Notamacropus eugenii: one gene and its partner. The protein of the gene in region 1 interacts with the protein of each later gene in a pairwise test. Links are inferred from orthologs where the notes say so. Each region holds a gene or a part of one and is shown in the gene's direction. Other genes may lie near its edges.

The links.
Region 2: the proteins of NUMBL (region 1) and SPSB3 interact in binary tests that used the Homo sapiens proteins (3 or more experiments, as listed by UniProt). The two-hybrid records come from large-scale screens. The link is inferred for Notamacropus eugenii from reciprocal best matches to the Homo sapiens genes NUMBL and SPSB3.

What each region holds. Positions count from the first base shown.
Region 1 is NC_092876.1:30,927,572-30,931,471, forward strand, and holds the start of NUMBL (numb-like protein), read left to right. Parts: upstream 1-1,056; 5' UTR 1,057-1,279; coding exon 1,280-1,327; intron 1,328-2,643; exon of another isoform or gene 2,644-2,758; coding exon 2,759-2,846; intron 2,847-3,081; exon of another isoform or gene 3,082-3,177; coding exon 3,178-3,317; intron 3,318-3,900. UniProt on the Homo sapiens protein: Plays a role in the process of neurogenesis. Required throughout embryonic neurogenesis to maintain neural progenitor cells, also called radial glial cells (RGCs), by allowing their daughter cells to choose progenitor over neuronal cell fate.
Region 2 is NC_092872.1:48,808,875-48,812,774, forward strand, and holds the start of SPSB3 (SPRY domain-containing SOCS box protein 3), read left to right. Parts: upstream 1-1,704; 5' UTR 1,705-1,727; coding exon 1,728-1,844; exon of another isoform or gene 1,845-2,066; intron 2,067-2,398; exon of another isoform or gene 2,399-2,824; intron 2,825-3,900. Other genes in the region: cytosolic Fe-S cluster assembly factor NUBP2, read right to left, coding at 1,257-1,272.

The sequences.
Region 1 (3,900 bases):
TCTGGGATTGGGGGTGGAGTGAGGCTGAAAAGATGGGCGAGGCTACTGGGAGTAGGGACTCCAGGTGCAGATGGCCTGGCCAGGCTTGTTCCTCCCCCTTCCCCCTAGTCCTGAAAAGCCCAAGCCCCCAACCATCTGTTGCCAAAGGAACAACCTCCCTGCCCCCCCACGTGCTGGCCACCTGCTCTGCTAGCTGACAGACTGGCCCCTACCCCCCCATATCCCAGCTCCCCCTAGTGGGACTAGGGGACGCCCAGGGGGCACAGCTGGGCCCTGGGGACTAGAGAAGAGGGTTGGGGGTGTAATGGGTGGTGCCTAAGGCAGGGTCCCTTCTGTGTTCATTACTGTTGCCCAAAGGTAGCTTGGTTGAACTGGCTAGCCCGCTAATGGATCTTAATGCCCAGGTCTGGCGGCAGTTGCCAAGCCCATAGGATGAAGGGGTGCCTGGAGCTGCCCCAAAAAACCCCACCCACCTCCCAAAGGCCCATATTCTTCCGCAGCCACAGTTCCCCCAAGCCCCGGGAGGCTGCAGGGGTGGGTGAGGGCCCTAAGAACAGACTTGACCGGAAAGATCCCCAGAACCCTGAACCACCCCGCCATCTAAAAATGTGCCCCCCACTTGGGGGGCTTGGGGTGTGAGGACGGACAAAAAAAAGCCATTGTGGGCTCCCGGACTGAGGAGTCCTGGAGTCAAAGGGCATCGCGGAGCGGAACCCGGGGATTGGCTGGGCAACGCCTGGGAGAAGCAACTGTTACTGACGAATATTTTCGGGGGGCGGCTTAGGGCGGGGTCTAGGAGCGCAGGGGGAGGAGGGGCTGTTTTGCATATTGAGCAGGCACTGGGCCAATGGGCGGTGTCTTTTCACATACTGAGTGGGCGGTGGGCCAGTGAGGGGAGGTGGGCCAATGTGGGGGGGAAAGGGGCGTGGCCAAGCGGCCGGGTCGGACGTGGCGGAGGGGAGGGCTAGGTCTTCTTTTGCATATAGAGCGGGCGGCGGGCCAATGGGCGGGGACGGGGGTGGGGTTTTAAGGGCGAAGGGGGCGCTGTGAGGGGGAGTCGGGGCTGGGGCGGGGGGGGGGCGGCCCCCCCAATGGAATCCTCCCGGGAGCCGAGCAGGCGCGTGCGTGTGCGGCCCCCACCATCCCCCGGCCTCCGTCCCCGTGCCCCGACTCCGTCAGTCGGCACCGCTGCTGCAGAGCTGTCCCGGGGCCGGGCCGGGACTGGAGGGAAGCCGGACCCACCGGGGTCCGCAGAAGGCGGGGGCGCCGGGGCCCCTGGATGTCCCGGAGTGCGGCGGCAGCCCCCGAGAGGAGCGGAGCGAGCGCAGTAAGCGGCCTGCGCGGTGGGACTGGGCCGAGTTGGGCCGGGCTGGGCCGGGCTGGGATGAGATGGGGTGAGATGAGATGGGGTGGGATGGGATGGGACCCGAGGACTCGGGACCCGAGAAGGGCTCAGAGAAAGGGAGACTCGAGGACGGGGATGCTGCGAGGGGGCCCGGGGATGGGAGGGGGGCTCTGCAAAGATAGCGCCCCCCCTGCCCCGTCCAGCCCCCTCCCCTTTGTCCCCACTCGGGCTGTCCTCGGCCTCAGCCCAGCTGTTGTGGAGGCGACTGAGAGCCCCGCCCGCGGAAAATGCGGGCCTGCCTCCCCCCAACCCCCAATCCAGTCTGATCCGATCCGACCCGATCCTGGAGGCCCGTGAAGAGAGAGAGCCGGGGGCGTCTCCCTGTCACCTGTCACCTTCAGGGTCACTAGCCCCCTACCCTCGGAGCCAGCTGTGCAGGACGGATACCTCTGCCTGGTCTTGGGTGCCCTATGTGATCGTCCTCGTGTGTGTGTGTGACTTCCAGATAGGCTGGGGAACTCTTGTGGGTCTGTGCCTCTGTGTGTGTGTTTGTCTGGCTGGGAGACAGGTTGTGACTTTGCAGGTTGTGTGTGTGTGTCTTCCGTGGCTGTCTGTTGGTCTGTGGGTATGGTGCTCTCTCCCTGGGCCTGTGTGTGAGGGATAATGTGTGATTTTAGACCCTGTGGCTATCACTGTAGATTTCTGTGATTGTCTCCATATTCTGCCTGCGGGAGTCTGTGCTGTATGTTTGTGTGTCTGCGATCATGTGTGGCTAATGGCTAAGACTGCATGTTGGTGCGCTTGTAGCTCCAAGGCCTCTCAGTGTGTCTGGGTGCTAGGTTTGTGTGGCTGCCTGTCTGTGTGGGACTGTGCCTGCCTGCGGGATTGCTGCTCTGTCACCTGAAACTGTCCCTTTGGGAGAGTGTCTGTGTTGCTCAGGGTGTGTCTTAGTTGAAACAGACTTAGGCCTTCCCTCTATACCCCTAAAGCTCCGAGCCCCTTCTTTTTCCCTAAGTGGATGAGCCATGTTCATTTCTGAGCCCACACCCTATCTAAGATATAAGTGGGCCGCTGTCAGCCAGGCCCATGGAAAGGGGTGTTCCCTGGGAGATAGCTGGGACAACTAGGAGGATACAGCTAATACCCTCTTTACCTCTACCCTGTCTTTACCCCTACCCCCTCATTCCTGGGGCCTCATAACCATGGGAATGGTCTCCCTGGTAACTGTTGCTATAGCAACCAGGGCAGGAGTCAGGCAGGCCAAGGCAAAAGGGGCAGGACTCCTTGGTCCCTTCCAGGGGCCTATGCCAAAGGTCACAGAGGTGGAGCAGGGATCAGTGTGTTCCAGGCAAGGGGAGCTCCATGAGATAGGGGAACCCCAGACCCTCAAAGCCTGGTCCTGTGTCTGGGCAGGAAAGGCCCAGGAGGGCCCATCAGCGTTTGTCCTCAGCCCCTCCTCGCCTGGCCCTGGGGCCCCCCCAAACCTTCAGGACGGAGCCCGGTGAGTGAGTACAACAGTCTGGTGGGGAGAGGGGTTGGGGGAAAGCCCATGGAGGCCAGGGAGACTGAGGGAGGTGTCTTAGTGGGGAGCTGGAAGGGAAGCAAAGTCTATAGGAAAGAACCCCTTTGAAAAGCTCCCAGCCTACCTGGGGAAGTAGAGCCCAGTCAGGAGCAGAAGTGATAAATCCGTTTAGTGTCTGGGCCCCTCAGCTGCCTCCCCCATGGTGCTTGGGCAGATGCATCTACAGGAAGCCACAAGCTCAGAACTAAGAACCACAACCACTCCTGCTCCAACTCTGGCCCCTGACCCTGAAGACCCTCCTTGTCCCCAGACGGTGCTGGCACCATGAACAAGCTGCGTCAGAGCCTACGGCGCAGGAAGCCGGCCTATGTCCCCGAGGCTTCCCGCCCGCACCAATGGCAGGCTGATGAGGATGCTGTTCGGAAGGGCAGGTGCAGCTTCCCAGTCAGGGTGAGAGTGGGGGGCACCAGGGTGGGGCAAGAGCTCTGGGATCCCAGGGGAGTTGGGAAAGCAATGCTCTAGTCTCTTTCCTGTGTGCGTCAGGCCCAGGGCAAATTCCTCTCTCTGTTAGACCTCAGTTTCCCCTTATGTAAAAACAAGGGAATTGGGCTGGATGACTGCAGGGTCCTTGCTAGTTCTGACAATCTGCAACTCAAGATGAGGTTATGTCCAGGATAAGATGAGGGATGAGGAGATGGGAGATGAAAGGACTGAGGAGATGGGCGATGAAGGGATGGAAAAATAAAGAATGGAGGAGAGATAAGACTGGGGAGATGGGGAATGAAAGATGAAAAGATGAGGATGAAGGGATAGAGGCAGAGAGGATGGAAGGATGGAGAGATGGGGATGATGAAAGATGGAGAGGTAGGGGATGGAGGGATGGAGAGAAGTATGAAGAAATGGAGAGAGGAGAGATGGAAGGTGAGAATGGACAAATGAGGAATGAAGGAACGGAGGCTGGAGAGAGGAAGGGACAGAGAGCTGGGAATAATTGCTCTCCATGACATTTGCAGAGCTCATTAAGCTTTGCAAC
Region 2 (3,900 bases), on another chromosome or scaffold:
TAATTGGGCGAATGATTTTCTCCCTTTATCTGTGTACCACCTGCTGATCTTGGGTGTCCAGATCTTGGCGAAACTGATTGCAGTTTACCTGTATTTTTACTCTGGGCTGGTTTACTCAGGGACCCTAGAAATTCTCACCACAGAAGTTATTCTAGTGTATGAGGCGAGATAGTCTCGGTATCACTGAGATTGGTTCGGATGAGAGAAGGAAAATGATGCAAGATCTGGATCAAGAATCAAAGGAAAAGGCCACAGGAAGCAAAATCTTTTTCTCTGGAAATGTAAAAAGAAATAATCTTCCAATAATTTTTCCCCAAAACTCTTTTCACTGCGTAGACAGGCATGGGTGAGGAAAGTTCCTGACCAATGTGAGCCAGCACCTCCGGTAAACCGTCAGGTATTCTAAACCCCAGTGGGGGCGTCATCCTCCCCCCAAGCCAGACTGGGGGAGACAAGGGAAGAGAAAGGACTGGATTGACAGGAGTTGGGGTAGGGGAACCCTAAGCAGCTCATGACTGCTGGAAGGGGAGTCACCGTAGGGGGCGCTGGAGGGACAGGAGCCTGGGGTGGAGAGGGGGACTGGACCGAGGGTGGGAACCGGACTGACATGGGTCACCCTGGAAGGCAGATGGCGGGGCAAAGAGGAGGGGCCGGCGTGGGCCATGAAGAGCCGCACCGGGTGTGTACGAACCTGCCTTCTTCCAAGCAAGGGAGCCTGGACGGACCGCCGCCTAGTGAGCTCCTCGGGGGAATGGGGGGGGTGGACACCAGAACTGGAGCGAGGAGGGGAAGGGTCCGCTGACGGGGGGAGGGCAGACGGAGCGGGGTCACGTGGGGGAACTAGCCCGGACAGGACGCGCCGAGCCGGACAGGGCCGGCTGAGGCGTCGGGAGTCGGGTTCCGGGGCGCCTCCACCCGCCCTCGCCCGGCCCAGTCACGCCGGCGCTAAGTTCAGACTCCCGCCCCCTCCGCCTCAGCTCCCCCGAGACCTTCAATTCAGGGGCGGCCCCGACTCCACCCCTGGGCGGGGAGGGGGAGAACCCTCATCTCCCGCGGGAGGGAGACTCCTCGCGCATGCTCAGCTACTCGAGCAGAGCGAGCCGCCGACTTCCTGGGGGCGCCTCGTTCACCTGGCTCCCGCAGACCCGCCCCGACTCCGGACCACGCAGGTGGTTTCCACCTTTCAAGGTAAGAGGCTTGGGACGGCGACTGTCTCGGGAGAGGCTCTCGGAGGAGCTCCTCCTGAACTCACTCACCCTGTGCGGCCTCCATTCTGCCGGGCGCCACCTCACGTCACAACTTCCGCCTCCATCTGCGTACACACACCCCTTCCCTTCTTCCGCCTGGAGTGAGGGACGTTTCAGCCAATCCGAAGCAACATCTCTCCCCTTCTCCCGCCTCTTTGCTCGTGTCCTCTTTTCTTAACCAATCAAATCTCCGAAGGCGTGCCTGCCACCCGGCCCCGCGACTCCTGGGAAATGGAGGTGGGCTTTCTTCTAAATCCGAAAAATTGGCTACTCCCTCAATTTCTGGCCTTCGGGCCAGTGTGCGCGGTAGACTTGGCTCTGACTTGCCCCTGTTCCTCCTATGGGGACGCGGGTTGAGGATTGACAGACTGTTTAGCCACTGGCCCCGCGAGTCCCTCCCTTCTCCCATTCCCGGAGGGTGGCTCATCCAACCGAGACGGCGATCCAGGCCTGACTTTCCTTCTCCCGGGCGAGGGACCAATGGGGTGGTGGGGGCGGGACTCGGGGAGGAGATTGTTTACGTCTCGCTCGGGAGGGGAAAGTAGGTCAGAGCGCGGGGCTGGAGCGGAGCGGAGCGCGGCGGTGGCGGCGCCTGAGGTGAGAGCGGCGCGTCCCGGGGTGGGGCCCCCGAAGGCTCGGTCCCCGCGCCTCCCCCGTTCCGTGACCCCTCCGCGCGGGTTCCTTTTGCGCTTCCTGCCCCGTCGGCCCTTCAGGCCTCCCTTTCCCGATCTCGTTCGTCTTCGCTCAGCTTTTGGCGCCTTCTCTCGGGAGCGGACCGAACGGCTTGCACCGCCCAATGGGAGGGGGTGCCAGTGGTTGGTGCGGGAGGGCCCGGGGGGGGGGCGGGGCGGAGGCCGGGCCCTGGAAGCGCCGGGCTCCCGCGGGGCGGGGGGAGGGCGAAGGGAGAATGCGGAGGGGGCGGGGAAGCCAGTCCGACCCGATGCGATGTGTAGAGGGACCCCAATGGTCCCGGCCGAGCGGCAGCCGACCTGCCGGGGAAGGGGAGCCTCGTGGTCCGCTCCGAAGCCTGGGAACTTGAAGGGAGAAGCTCCGTGGGCCGGGCCAGGCGGGGCAGGGCCGGGCTGCGTTGGCCCGGCCTCGGGCGGGGGGAGGCGGGGCCGCTGGCTTGCCCTCGGCGTGTGCACGTGTCGGGGCCGGGGGGGAGGGGGGGGAGGTCTGCACGGCCGCGGCCAACCAGGCCCTTCCTCCCGTTCCGTTCTTCCCTGTTCCAGTGAGGATGGGCTGGCGGGGACCGGGCGGGAGTCCCTGCCTTCCGTTGTTCCCACTTTCGGGGCCCCCCGGCCGGGGGCTGAGACCGCCGGTTTCTGCTGGTTCTCGACGTGGTGTTAGTGGGTGTGGTCCCGGGAGCCATCGCAGCCTCCCCCCGCGTGGGTTCAGAAAGTGGCCAGAAGAGACCAAAGGTTAAGGGAGGTTAAGTCCGGGGGTGAGGAGGTGGCTCCTAGACACGCATCCCTGGTGTGTGGTCGGTGCATCCCGGAGGTCCTGGGGGTGCCAGCGGGGGATCTGGAGAACTCCGGCGGGCTTGGTAAAGGGGGTGTTGCAGTTGTGCTTCAAAGGTGGGTAGGAATTCTACAGAGGGAGTAGAGTAGAGGGCATTTAGAAGCATCTGCCAACAGTGGGAACAGGCATGGAAGTGGAAGGGAAGGAAAAAGTGAAGTAGAGATGGAGAAGGGTGGCCCCAGCTTCTGAAGGTCACCCGGGAGGAGAGACCCTGAGCGAAGGGACAACCGAATCAGGTCTGCTTGGAAGGAAGGTCTGAAAGCTGTGCCAGGTGTAGAGGTGGGGAGTTCTGGCGTCGTCTAGTTTTACAGTCTGGAGAGTCCTTCCTTTTTCTGTCCTAAGCGTCGTTGACATCTGGGAGAATTGTTAGATCACTTGATGTTACTTAGCTTACCTTCTTTCAGGAGGGTGAATTCTCAGTGTTCTTGTCACTTGTTGCTTTGAATTTGTCTCCTTGACTTTGCTTAAGGTTGCTATCTGTGATTCGAGGTAAGGTTGGTGGGAAGGTGCTAGACTTGGGAGTCGGTAGAGTTCAAAATTTGAGTTCGAGTTCTTCCAGCATTTGTTATCTGATTAACTATCCTGAGTAGTCACGTAATCTCGTTCAACCTCGGTTTCATCCTCAAAAGTTAGGGTGATAATAAAGATCCTTCTCCACCCCTCTTGTTAGGATCAAGTGCAATAATATATGCAAAAAGCCATTATATAAATGGTAGTATTAAGAATGCCAGGAATTTGAAGTCTGGCCACGTGCCTACTTTACTTCTCAGCCTTGCTTTATTTGTAAAATGGGGCTATATTTACACTACCTCCCTCACAAAGTTGAAGAATGCACTTTGTAAAGCTTAAAACACTATAGTGGACAGAAAGTCTGAGGTGTTTTCTTTGAAGTTAAAGATGATATCAGTGTTGCATGATCATGAACATAATTTTTATTGGTTAACCGATGGTAAGCAGGCTGTGAGGGATTTGTGTTTGTCCTGAGTTTTCCAAGAGGAGCATGACATCAGGGAAATGATGACATGACGTGCAGTTGACTTCGATTTGAGTGAGGACGGTCACTAGCCTCACTTTCTCCTCCAGAGCCATCTGTGTTCAGTGACCAGATCGTTAGGAGAACTGATGGAGTATG